2 linked regions of the Drosophila melanogaster genome follow. The gene in region 1 interacts genetically with each later gene. Each region holds a gene or a part of one and is shown on either strand. Other genes may lie near its edges.

Region 1 (6,759 bases):
TCCCCGATCTCAGATGGCTCTGGGATCGATTCCCTGCGCGGGATTTGCATTCAGCGAAGCGTAAAGATCGACTGACTTTTGTGGTCTGTGATTTCTTTTGGCTTCCCTTTAAGCGGTGATTAGCCGCAGGACAATGGCAAAAAAGGATGCCGCAGAAACAAAGGGCGGAAGACTTCACAGAAGTCGGTCGCCCAGCTCTCCCAGTAGGTCATTGGGTGAAGGAATCTTGGGCAGACAATCGGGCGACAGGTACTGCGTTCTAGCCATTGTCCACCCGGCAAGGTGTTTTCCTTACAGCTGATGCATTGTGACCAGTTGCATCTGTGCTGCAGTTTTTTGCAATTGCACAAGAAACGCGCTCTGATTACCGTAGAACTGGAATGATTGGTCATTGTCTGCATTGGTTCCTTCTGGGAATGGATTTTTGTGAGCCTTATTTATGACCAAAAGGTGTTGCAACTGCAACATAATGTCGCTAATGCTTGTCCCATTCCGACACACCCGCATTCGATTATTTATGTTTTTAGAGTCACACATTTACGGGACTTCCTTAAATAATAAAAGAATCGTTAAATGTTTATTGGCAAATCTTACAACTACTGAATTGTATCAGTGAACATTTCTGAACTAATATCTATTAGAACATGGCTATTAACAAATTGAATCCAAATACCCACTCACCTTGCCTTGATAACCATACGTGCCTAAGCTAAAATATCCACCCATATCTTGGATTTATTCCTCATACCTGTTCAAACTAAAGTATTATCACCGCGCGGGTCTAATCAAATAGTCAGATAAACCTCGACGGGTTCTCGGTTTAGAGCATGCTTCGGTGGTAATCCAATCCAATCAGGACCTGAACTACCGTCTGCCAGTCAATCAGGAAGGACTCGATAAGCAGCCGTCGCTACGTTTATCACCTGCACTCCACGGTCCTCTGGTGTCCTTTGGTATCCTTTAGGGACTCAGGACGCATGCGCCGCCATCAGTTCGGCAAAATGCTGGAAAAGGATTGCAGAAATGTAAACGTGAAGCGATGTCGGTGTCAGCTAATTAAATATTTGCATTGGCAAAAGGTGCAAAACGCCGAGCGATATGGATTGAAATTGATGGAATGCTATTAATGGGGGCGGGTTAGAAGGAAGTCCCCGAAAAGGAAAGTGTATGACAAATCGGTTCCCTGTTTGCACATGCCAAAGGTGTTTTCTCCGAGAATTCGATATTGCTATTGTTGTGATTTCTGTTTTTCGAGAGGGTTGGCGGAAATTGTCACAAAATATGAACAGGGGCAGACCCCAAAATGCGGATGTTTGGTTTCCTGTTAATTATTGTACATTTTGAAGGCACATAGAAACTGTAGAAGGAAAGATTACATTTTTTTAATGCGTTTCGATGAATGCTGTTACTACCTAAAATGTTTTCTATAACTTTTGGTTACAAATTTTTAAATTTTTTTATTCACATCTGTCTGTATTTGAGCCCAAATATTAGTGATAGAATTTAAATTGAATATTTCTATACAGTTTCCTTCTGTGAGAATTTCTTTCAAAATTGTTAAAAATAATAAAGACCATATAAATTTCTTTTCGTGAGTTTTATTTTATAAAAATATTTAATTCTTCTCTTTAAGCTAGGAATAATCTTAACAACAGTTGGCTTAACAGTACTGAGAATACATAAATAAGGGTATATTATAATTAAATGAATAGATTTGGTAAAATGCTGCGTGTGACAATGAGGCAATATACATGAACTTAAACTTAGAATACTATAGCTGAAATAAATATAGTAATAGTAGCACCAAAACCGAATCGACTTAGTACAAACTTATAATAGGTATTGTCTGTTTGTTTGGTCTTCGCCAGCGGAATGTGAGTTTGCTTAGGTAATTGTGTCCTGCTAAGGGATTCATATGTCGAGAATCCTACGCAATAGTGATGGTGCAGTTGGAGCTGGAGTGCTTGTTCAGGAGCGACATCCTGGAGAAAGATTTGTGGCACACCTGGCAGGCGTACTTCTTGACGTCCACGTGGGTCTGCTGATGAGCTCGCAGGTTCGAGCGGTCGGCAAAGGATCGTGGGCAGTCGGGGCACTGGAAAGGCTTCTCTCCAGTGTGGGTGCGGATGTGTCCCTGGAGCAGCCAGGGTCGAGAGAAGGCCTTGCCGCAAATGGGGCACTTGCAGGGCAGAGTGTGGGTGCGGATGTGCATCTTCAGGGCTCCAATGGTGGTGTACAGCTTTCCACACTCCTCGCAGGAGTGGGTCTTCTTCTCCTGATTACACTCGGCTGCCGGGCAGTGGAACTGACGGTGCTTGGACAGGCCCATCGAGGTGGAGTACATCTTCTGGCACTCGTCGCACTTGAAGCGGTAGTTTTTGGCATGATTGGCGGCAACACTCGCCGACGAGGCACTCATGGCCGGAGTGTAGGAGTATCCCGATGAGCTGCTTACACTGGCACCGCTGCTGCTGGACTTGGCCTCATCGAAAAGGTGGAACAGAGCCGGCAGTGGGATGTCATTTCGCACTGAAAGATCCTCTGGCTCGGAACCGGTTTCCAGATCGGATCCGGGGCTGGAGGGCGGCGTCATCTGCTGGTAGCTGTAGACCGACTGGGGCGAGGCCATCGAGCTGGCTGGCGAGGGGAAGGCGGCCAGATGGGGCTGATAGCTGCTCCACAGGGCAGAGATCGGATTGCAACCGGCGGCCATCACAAAGGCGGACTGGAAGGGATTAATCGTGGTGGGGGTGGCGGTGGTATATCCCGTTGTTCCTGCCGTTAGTCCACGCATATGGATTTCGGTGGGCAGGTAATCCTGGGCCTCCACTGGCGGCGACAGCAGGCAGGAGTTGGAGCTAGAGCTGGAGTTCCTTTCCGGTGTTTTTGAAAGGTTCAGCACATAGTCACGTTTCGGTTCCGGCTGCTGATAATCCTGGGTCTCCTCGTCGCGACCCCGTTTCAGGGATAGATCCTGCGGCTGATCCTGGGCAAACTGTGAGTCCTTGGTCAGGGCCAAGGCCTCCGTTTGTGGCAGACGCTCCTCCACGAAGACAATGGGGCGCTTCTTTAGCGGGCAGCTTTTGTAGTTGGCGGCCATTTTTGATGTGTGTGTGATTAAGTTTTAGTTTCCGGTACTGATCGAGATGGGTAAATCGGGAGATCGGCGATCGAGAGGCGAGTTATATAGTTCGGGATCGAGTATAGAGCGGTGGTTGCGTTCTCAACGAGAGCTGAGGTGGCTGTGACAGGTCAACAGTCGAGCACGCTCTTTTATACCCGGAACTCTGCGCCTCTGCCGACGCCGCTGTCGCCATTTGGTGGTGGTTCTTCTTCAAAACAGAAAAACACTCGCACGTGTGCGTCGCTACCTAGCAACAACAACAGCACTTTTCCCATACCCTTATTGCGTATTTCCCTCACTTCCCTCTACCTGCTCTCTCACTCTCTCTCTCTCTCTCTTCCTCCATTTCCCACCTCTCTCTCGGAAGAGCAGACGCAGGCGCACCCTCCCAGGAATAAGGATCCCCCGTATAAGTTATGACAGATCTGGTGGCTCTCCAATTTCCCGATACGCTCACAACCCACCCGTAATAACTCGTGCAGGTCCGGGTCCGAAATGCAAGTTACAATATCGCCTCCCTACCTATGGATCACCCTAAGTAATTTTCTATTTTTAAGCACGAGTCAAATAGGACTCCTAGTACTCTTCGTTCATGGGGTGGTTTCCTCACTTAGATTGAGTGCTTCAAGTACATCTGCCGATGCTCTAAATTCGGTTTTTGGTGGGGAGTTGAACCTGAGCGATACGCACTGACAAAAATGACACCTTCGCAGAGAGGTGTTCCAAAAATAGCACTGATAATGAGCCGAATTCCGAGACACCAAGTGTCAACTCTGGGGTGCACTCTACGCTGACTTATGGATCATCTCCAGTGGCTCATTGGCAGCGATCGATGAGAGCTAGGAAAACATAGCTCAGGGCATAGGAGATGTCATTAAAAACTTGACAAGGAATAGACGAAGAGTGTCAAGTCTCCTGTGAGCTTGGATCGAAGAGATCTCCTGTTCCCACGATTGGTCCGTGAAAGAATGACGATTCGAATACGAGTTACACATTTTAACTAATCCCATGGTCATCTTATTAGTATGTGAAGTTCTGCTGTCTTAAAATCAATTCGATTGATAACGTAAAAAAAATCATACTGCCCCTCAGCATCCAGCTGAGTCCTGGACGATTCCCACAATTCTCGCTTTCCAACTCCCCTGATCTTTGACTCCTTGCCTCATCGCGCACACACAACTTTCCCAGCTAGCACCTCCAGACTTTCAAGCCACCCCTCCAACTATCGATGGGAAACTTTCCCAACTCCCACTCCCGCATGGAGGCTGACATGCAGACTTTGTACCCGGAAAAACAGACAAGCCCGCATAGCCAAGTCCGATTTTCCGCGTCGTCAAAAAAAAAAAACCAGGCGCGGTGGTAAAATTGGAAAAAATCCATAGCAAACCCAAAAGTTTTGATAAACCCAAGAGGTGACAAAAAATTCCAGCGCGGAATTCCAATTCCCCGCGATCCTGCAACCAATGGCGTGAGGGAAGATGGGAAATGTCGAGCCAATAACCCAGCCGCATTTCCATTTCGTATTTCCCTGCAATGGATTTTCCTTCGACGAATGTCCGGATGTGGATCAGCGAAGGATTTAAAGTAATTTCCCATCTTATCCAATTACGCAGTCAGCGAAACTCAAGCAAAACAAGCCACGACGAGTGGAAAAACTGGCTGGGGGTTTTCTATATGTCCTCACATCCTACCTGGTGGGTCATCCCGGATATCTCGGTTATTACGTGTGTTATTCCGCGCAATGATCGCCATGTCACATCCATGCACATATCTACCTAATGATCACTACGATGAAGTCCTCGGCCGCGGAATTGCCCGATGAGCACCGCGGATAACCCGGCCAAGTCCTCATTGATGTCGCGGGAAAATCCGCACTTGTCGAACCCATATATCCGTTGAAGTACCTGACTTGCAAAAATTCCTGGTCGGGTTGGCCCGCTCATTAGTATTAGGTAGATTGGCGGCCAGTGTTTTCCGCTTCATTCATTACTTCATTATTTTGGGGAAAACCCTTTCGGGGGTTAAATACTTTTTCCCCGACTCGCTCGGGATTTCTGCAGGTGCTGGGATGAAGTTCGATTTTCCATAGACATTGTTGTTGTTCTTGTCAATTTTTGCTGAGAATAGGACCGTCCCATTTTTGCACCTTGTTCCCTGGCTCATTTGTTCAAGTTGACAATGAAGAGGGAACACAGGGATCTACAGAGCTCGACTGACATTGTTCGAAGAGGAGCCATGCGAAATAGTAAATCCGAGTCACAAAACAGAACTAGGTCGACAACCAGTGCAAAAAGGAGACATTATGAACGATGATCGAAATGTATTTTAAGAACAACACATTGAACTTTGTAATTTTATTCATAATTAATGTTACGGAGCTTGTAAAAAATGTTTTTCGTTTTGTTCTTCTTATTAAATATTCGCATAAAACACTCAGAAAAATCATATCACATTTTCGCCCAAGGATAACTGTAACTGTTTTTTCAGCTTCCTAGACTGTGTTTCTCTAACCAAAACCCCCACTCCTTCACAGGCCATCACAGCCTAACAGTATATCCAGGTCACCTGGCCTGGTGAACCTTTTGCAAAAACGAAGATATAAAGAGGAGAGAGAAAAAGAAAGGAACGAACATTAGGGATACCACCAAGGAAAACAAACTATGGCCCAAGATATACGATGTGTGATGTCGTTGACAATGAATTGTTGATTACTATACTACCCCCAGGTCAGGCTCTCCTTTTTTTGGCACGGAACAAAGGAGCTGCGATCCATAAATCGAAGATCGGAGAAGCAGGGAAAATCACTGCCACGGGCTGTATGTGTGTGCATGTGGACCGGGTGCATTGCACAATCAATAGGTAGGTTCGCGGCACAATGGCCAAATACAGTGGAGTAAATGTTTTGAAAAGCCAGCGAAAGGAATTGCTTCTCGGAATCCTTCGGCGGGGCCGGCGTATCAATGTCCTTTAGCCAGAAGAAATCAAAAAGTTGGATCACCTGGCCGTATCTGTCGGCGTTTATGTGCGGGTGCGGGTTCCATCGCTACCTGTGGCCCATTGTTCGCTGCAAATAGTGAATGACCCCCGACCCCGACCCTGGCGGGTCTGAAAATCTAAACGGACCCCAAAAACCATCCCAGCAGCAAGCTCTATTGTCGCAAGTCCTGCACTTGTGGCAGCTGCCTTGACTTCCAGTTCGATTCCCCCTTGGCTTCCCTTCTTCTTTGAGGTTCGACGCAGGTTTCGCGCCTATTCACGGTTCGTTATCCTGTCAATTCAGTGCCGACATTACAGATCCTGTTGTCAGTGTCCTGTCGTCATCGCTGCCCCCAACGTTCCATTATGCTACGGCGACTAAGCTGATTAGGGGACATCGCGTGTGTCCTGCTTATTGGCCACACTAAACACTCTGTTTAGCCTATTACACGTGTCTCCTAAATGAAGTGTGTAAATATTATTTAACTCTGTTGCGGTGATTACGGACTACATAAAAAAAGGGAGAGTTTTTTGTCTGGTGAAATTTACTACAGGGGTTGAATGTGATTATTCACTAATGATTATAGTGATTTCCGCTTGGAAACGCTTCCGAAAAGGAGAGCCACCATTTTGTGCTTAACCGAATTATACTTTCTTCT
Region 2 (6,759 bases), 990 kb from region 1:
ACGTGTCAACTCGTAGGTATTTCCACTTTTTGTGTGTGTGTCCATTGTTCCAATATTTGTTTTTTTTTTTAGAGGGGAGCATTGGCAACGATTAATTTGCTGTATTAATCCAGCAAGCGATGCCGCACGGGGGGTGTTGCAAACACAACCCGCAGTTGGCAAAAAGAATCCCCTTTTTTTGGTGCATTACCGTAAAATTTCAATGTCACCATTATTCTTCTTCCTTTTGGGCAACTATTACGAGATAAATCGTTGTCGATAAATTATCGACAGGCAGCAGGCGGAGCTCGGACTCGATTCAGCTGGGTAGTCGCAGCGGGACACCCTCTGCACCCCATCCCCTTCATAGAGTACGGGATACATTTTTTAGGGATCCTGCTTAGTTCGCTTTCATACGGTTCTATTGAATTTATTGCAGTTTGTTTTTCAATTTTTTAAATGGCATTTTCGCCCTTCCGCGTTGGGAAGTGAGTTATGGTCTTGCTCGATGGCACGTAGATGCATTCAAATCGGAAGTAATTATGGTGAAACATAAGCGATATGAGGGAAAATAGCTGAATGGCTTATCAAGCGTGAACAATTTTGAAATCACTTTTCAATGAGGGTGATATTTGTAAAAAAAAAATATTAAAAAAAAAAAAACAAATAAAAAAGTAGCACATCAAGTCAAAGGCACTTGAACTAGCAGATGAGTCACAACGAATGCTCAGATGAAAACCAAATCTTTAGAGTAATTAATTTCATGGTAATATAATTCATATATTCCCATGCCAAACAGGGTAAAATATGTCGGCCAAGATAATAGCTTTTTTAAGACTACGCACAAGGATCTTCAGCAGCAAAATAAAGCAATTATCGTGGGTCGGTTTGGGAGTTCTTCTTTGTGCGTAAGTCAACTAAAAATCCGCAGACAGTTAAACGACTTTCCCTTACCAGTGGCAACCACTTCACGGATATATATATACCTTCATATTGCCGGAGATAATGTCAAATTTATTGCATTATTTTTCGCTCCTTTCGCCCGCCAGTTGCTCTGCATGCGTGCCACCCACTCTTGCCGCAGGCAAACCATCCACCACCCGCCGCCACCCACTGGTGTGCATAAATCAAAAGGTAAATGGCTGCATTTTTATGACTGCGCCGCCATCGTCGTCGTTCGCCTTTTGCGCTGCTTCGCTTTTATCACACAAACATTTCTGTGATAATAAATGCCATAAAAATGAAGAAATATGTGGTTAATTTTATGTGCTGCCTCTGCCATTCCGCCGCTTGTTGTTCTTGCTCTTGTTGTTGTAGTTGTTGTTGTGGCATCCAGTATACTTCCTTTTTATATTCCCCATATAAATGTTTTCGCGGCTACAAATTTTTCCCACTACATTTGGATATCTCTCGGCGCTTTCCTTTACAACTTTGGCGAAGATATCGAGAGTATTCGAATTCGAAACTCCTTATAGTTGCATAAAACGAGATTTTTAGTCTTAAAGGACTCTGATGCACTATATAACTAGAAGCTCAATATAGTTTTTTATTTCAGATCTTATTATTGTTAACCTAATAGAACTGCTGCATCTTTAACTGCGTACCTTGTAATTTAAATTACGCTTTTTTTTATATTTGTAATCTTCGCTACACGACCTCCTTTTGAATAAAATGAAGTTATCAACGCTGAAATGCTGCAGGGTGAGCATTAGTCTGAAAGCAAATCGCTTTAGTCACGGTATCAAGGTGTTCCGCACTTCCGCTTGGCAATTTCTTCGGCTTCGTGTAATTTATAATATTTTTGTATTATTTATATGACACCCCCGGCCACTGGTTTGAATTTACCTTCAGCCCACTCCCGCAATTTGCTAGTAAATAATTCACATACAGGAGCAGCGAATTTATGACGCTGACAAAGTGGCCATAAAAAATAACAAATAATAAGAGAAAATGCTATGGAACGTGTGCGTAAACTCTCCAACTCTGCAGCAGTATACATGCATATATACACGTATATACATTATTTTGGCAACACTTTTTTCGCTTTGTTGCACGCAAAACCGCAAATTATGTCTAAGCCGTATCGTAAAGTATCGCAGCACGCTCTTAACTAATAAATCCATCATTTCGCCGAAGGCCGAGAGTGTTTCCTCTACCTGTTTTAGCCTCGAAGGTATTTCGCTGCCGGGTTTCGGCTTAGGGATTCCCACAGAAAAATGTCTAAACACTCTAAATCGGGATTAAAAGTGTCGCTTCTGGGTTTTCGGCTTATCGTCCATATTTATACAGATTTTAATTTACTTGCCAGGGGCTTTGAAGGGTTCTTAAAACTCAGCTTGGTGATTAGGTAACATATCCCAAGGGCCAGATATTCCAAAATCCCCTCGGGGCTTGAGTTAAACATCTTGATACATAGTTTATGGTTAGTCCAACCGATTTGGTTGGGATTACGTTGGAGTTTTAATATCGGTTAGGTAAAGTGGCTAGAATGATCTAGATCAACAAAATCTAAATGATTAGTCACATAATATTTTCTAACTACTTAAATAATAGTAATCAATTATGTTTAGAAGGAGCTAGCCTATTATTAGCTCTTAATAATTTAATATAAATCAGCCTCGTTTTGCAATTAAACATTATTAGTATTCAGTAATTATCTTGAAACCAAGCAACGTGATTAACGCGATTTCGTGCGAAACGTAAATAAGTAAGTTAGGCAAGTGCTAACTGGAAAATTCAATCCAATTGTAGAGCGATTAAAAATGCAGCGGAGTTAACCAAACCATTAAACTATTACCAACTCTCTGAGTGCAACATGCCACAACACACATTCGCTTGTTTGATATGTGCAGATTAATTACACACACACCAAGGAAGGAGGAAAAATTGCTTGGAAAAACTTTTCGACGCGACAACAAAACAACGATTTCCACTTAAACAGCAAAACAGGAGCCACGAAAAAAAAGAGGGAAAACCAACCGCAGAAGTTAATCGAAAAACGCTAAACAAAGGCCACAACAACAGCTGTGCGAGTGAGCGGGTCAGAGGGAGAGAGGTGAAGTGCCAGAGCGGGAGAGCGACAAACAAATTAATTTTTATATGACATTAAAACGAGCGAAGCGAGGCGATGGAAATGGTTGAAGAGTGTGTTTAAGTGTTGAGTGGTTTGCTTTTCCGAGCAACAAATCTCGGTGCGAAGACAATGAGGCCTCTGCCGCGCCGCTGCCGCCACCACTGCAGCGCTGCTGCTGCTGACAGCCCCATCAAGAAAAAGTTCCCCCAGAGAGACACAGAGAGGGAGAGTGAGCGTGACATATGTGCCAAGATAAAATTAATGTGCCCCCCAAAGCAGCCACAACAACAACAACTCACTGAGCGGCGCTCTCAGCGCTCAACTGTTGCTCTCTGGACGAGTGTTGCCGTGGTGCAGCCATATTATTATGATTTTACAGGAAGCCAAATCGGAGAGCGAGAGAGAGAAAACCTGTCTTGGCTTCCATTGCAAGGCGCATGCGATTGTGATTGGACAAAAAGTACGCCATATTTGAAAATTACGCACAGTGCATCTCGCTCGCATGCAGCAGGCGGTGCTCCTCTAACGCAGGCAGCAAGCCAAAGTGTGCAGCGCTGCTCGCCGGAGAGCGCTCTCTCGCGAGTGAGCGAACGCTTCGCTGCGAGGGCAGTTACGCTCGCTGCCGCAGTCGTTGAATTCAATTCGAATTTTGACTTCGCAGCGTTCAGACGTGTTCGGAAAAACCTGAAAACCATTCGAGTGACAAGAGATATAACCAACAAAAATAAGAAACCTCAGTCAACTGTGGTCACTGATCGAGAGTGTTTCGTTTCGAGTGAAAAAGTGAAATCAGAGCCAAAACACAAATCGCTTGGCCAGCAAATTGAAATAGTGCTACAGAGATAAATTCTCTGCTCAAAACTACAAGTGTGTTAAATCGCCGATTTTCTTTGGATTTACCAACGTTTGCCGACGCATTTCTGTGGATTAACCTCATCGTCGCCGAAGCAAAGCTACGCATTTGTAGCCTTGTCTCGCAACTCACGTGGATTACCCTCGAGAAAACACACTAAGCAACTGATATGGTTGTCTTGGAAGGAGGCGGCGGCGTTGTTACCATCGGTAACAACCAGTACCTTCAACCGGATTATCTGGCCCCATTGCCAACGACGGTTAGTATTGACTAAGTTAAAAGCTGTAAAATTTTGGGATGGCCGTAAAATCTATGGTTTTAAATTTTGCGTACTTAAGAATTAAATTTGGAAAGTTCATAACATCAAACAATTTTTCAAATCTAAAAATTTATATCGTCATTAATACTTTCACGAACAAACTTTCTTTGGAAGAAATTGCATTTTCTCATAGTTTTAACTTCTCACCAAATTAAAATCAATATTATCTTAAAACTCGTAAAAAACTTTAAAATTACAAAAAACCTAATTCCAACTCCACATTTTCATTTTATTCATAACAGATGGACGCCAAAAAGAGTCCCTTGGCTCTGCTCGCACAGACTTGCTCCCAAATTGGAGCGGATTCGTCGGCAGTGAAACCCCTGCTGGCAATGGACAAGAACAAGACAAAGCCCGGAGCATGCTCCTCGTCGTCGAACTCGTCGAGTTCCTCGGGCAGTGCTGAGATCTCGGCAGCCAAGTCACCCTCCGGCCAGGCCAAATCGCCCAAGTCGAGCACTCCAATCAGCTCGACGGCAACCAGCGCAAGTCTGAGTAATACCAGCACCGGTGAAATCAAACTGGCCTTCAAGCCCTACGAGACCAATGTGCTGAGCCACCAGAACCAGAACTCCTTCAAGAGCAGCTCTTCGCTGGATGCGGAACCCACGCGTCCCAGCTCTAAGAACTCCTCATCCGCCCAGGAGCGTGTGCCATCGCGCAGCAAATCAAATGCCACGCCCACAGATGGCGGCAAGGCGGAGATTTCCGCGCACGATTCCTCATCCAGCCGAAAGACTGTCTCCCCGTCGGGATCGTCGCAACGCGGCGCCAGTCCCATTGTGCGCTCCGGCATGGAGGTGCTGAACAATGCCAACGGAACCGCCCAGCATCCCAAGGAAATGAGCAGCATGGCTGCGGCGGCAGCAGCAGCAGCAGCGGCTTACAAGGCCGCCGGACCCTATGGGCTGAATCCCCTGTCCGCCCTGTGCTGCCCGCCCGGAATGGAGCAGCACGCCAATCCCGCTTTCCGGCCACCGTTTGCCGGAGGATTCTCACACCATCACGCCGCCATGTTGGCAGTTGCCGCCAATGGAGGATATCCAGGCGGAGCTCCCGGCGGTGGACCAGCCGGACAGCCCAATCCGTACATAAGTTATCAGCGCATCAAGACACCAGCTGGCGGCGAGGCTATAGTGCCAGTCTGCAAGGATCCGTATTGCCAGGGATGTCCCTACTCGGCGCACACGCAACAAATGCTCATGGGTGCCCCCTGCCCCGCCGGATGCACCCAGTGCGAGCATCAGAAATACGGCCTGGCCATGGCCAGTGCCGCCGGACTGCCACCAGCTCATCCATACTCGCAGGCAGCGGCCGCTGCTGCGGCAAACGCGGCGGCAGCCCGTTCGGCACCCTACGTGTGCAGTTGGGTGGTGGGCGATGCCTACTGCGGCAAGCGATTCCAGACCTCCGACGAGCTCTTCTCCCACCTGCGCACCCATACGGGCAATCTCTCCGATCCGGCGGCTGCTGCGGCGGCCTTGGCCCAATCGCAGGCTCAATCCCTGCTGGGAACCCTATTTCCGCCATCGGCTCTCCGAGCTGGCTATCCAACACCACCACTGAGTCCCATGTCAGCGGCTGCGGCAGCGGCGAGGTATCATCCATACGCCAAGCCACCACCAGGCGCCTTGGCTGGAGGACCTTCGCCCTTCGGCGCCGCTGGAGCATTCAATCCTGCCGCGGCGGCTGCGGCAGCTGCTCTGGGACCCTACTACTCGCCATACGCCATGTACGGCCAGAGGATGGGAGCGGCTCATCAGTAAAGTGACTTCCACAAGAGTTAAATACCAAAAAAAAGGGGATTACGTTGAAGAGACAACCAGAGATATAGAATGAAACCATTTCCAAACCCTGTTTGAGATACTTTCATGGAAAACAAAAAAGATAAAAGCACAAAACGATTGCAAAGGCTGACACATCTCTGGCTTTTGCGCTATTCTGTGATACTAAACTGTAGTTTAAAGAGCGCTAGTTACACTTAAGTTTCGCAAACAGAAAATAATCAACCACCTAAAGAACAGTAGTAGCCGCAAAAATAGCAGGATCACTCTCTTCTATCATCGTAAATGTCTACATTGTTAGGTAAAAAGAAGTGCAGCCAACACGAAGTTCACTCACTCTTATTTGTTCTCAAAGTTCAACCAAAGTTTTTTAAGTCTTAGCCAGAACACATTCTACAACTTCCAATTTTGTTAATGAAGAACCCATTGCTGAGATGTTCAAACATTGTTTTAGTTTAACTTCGCTTTAAGTTCTATTAACTATTATTACGATTATCTGCAAGCATACAACAAACCAACAATTGAAATAATGTTCTTTAAGTCAACTTATATTTAAAGTAAGTGTAATGAATATTTGTAATACCAACCAATCAGAGATAAAAAATTAAAAAAAAATAATAATAATTACGAAAAATAAAAATGAATATTTCATATAATTATGTACTGTGTGTAAATTCTATAAATATAAACTAGATTTGCTATTTACTCCTTGATGTACGCAAACCACAATACGATCTACACAAGAAGCCAC

What was found. Genes that interact genetically often act in the same process or in processes that back each other up.
Region 2: of sna (region 1) and noc, changing one enhances a phenotype caused by changing the other (phenotypic enhancement), as found in Drosophila melanogaster (2 studies listed by BioGRID).

The regions. Positions count from the first base shown.
Region 1 is NT_033779.5:15,475,008-15,481,766, forward strand, and holds sna (snail), read right to left. Parts: upstream 3,254-6,759; 5' UTR 3,101-3,253; coding exon 1,928-3,100; 3' UTR 1,586-1,927; downstream 1-1,585. UniProt on the Drosophila melanogaster protein: Essential for the correct specification of ventral-dorsal patterns.
Region 2 is NT_033779.5:14,487,172-14,493,930, forward strand, and holds the start of noc (no ocelli), read left to right. Parts: upstream 1-3,687; 5' UTR 3,688-4,074; coding exon 4,075-4,164; intron 4,165-4,466; coding exon 4,467-5,990; 3' UTR 5,991-6,759. UniProt on the Drosophila melanogaster protein: May negatively regulate Notch-induced cell proliferation in the eye-head primordium. Required for development of the supraesophageal ganglion and ocelli.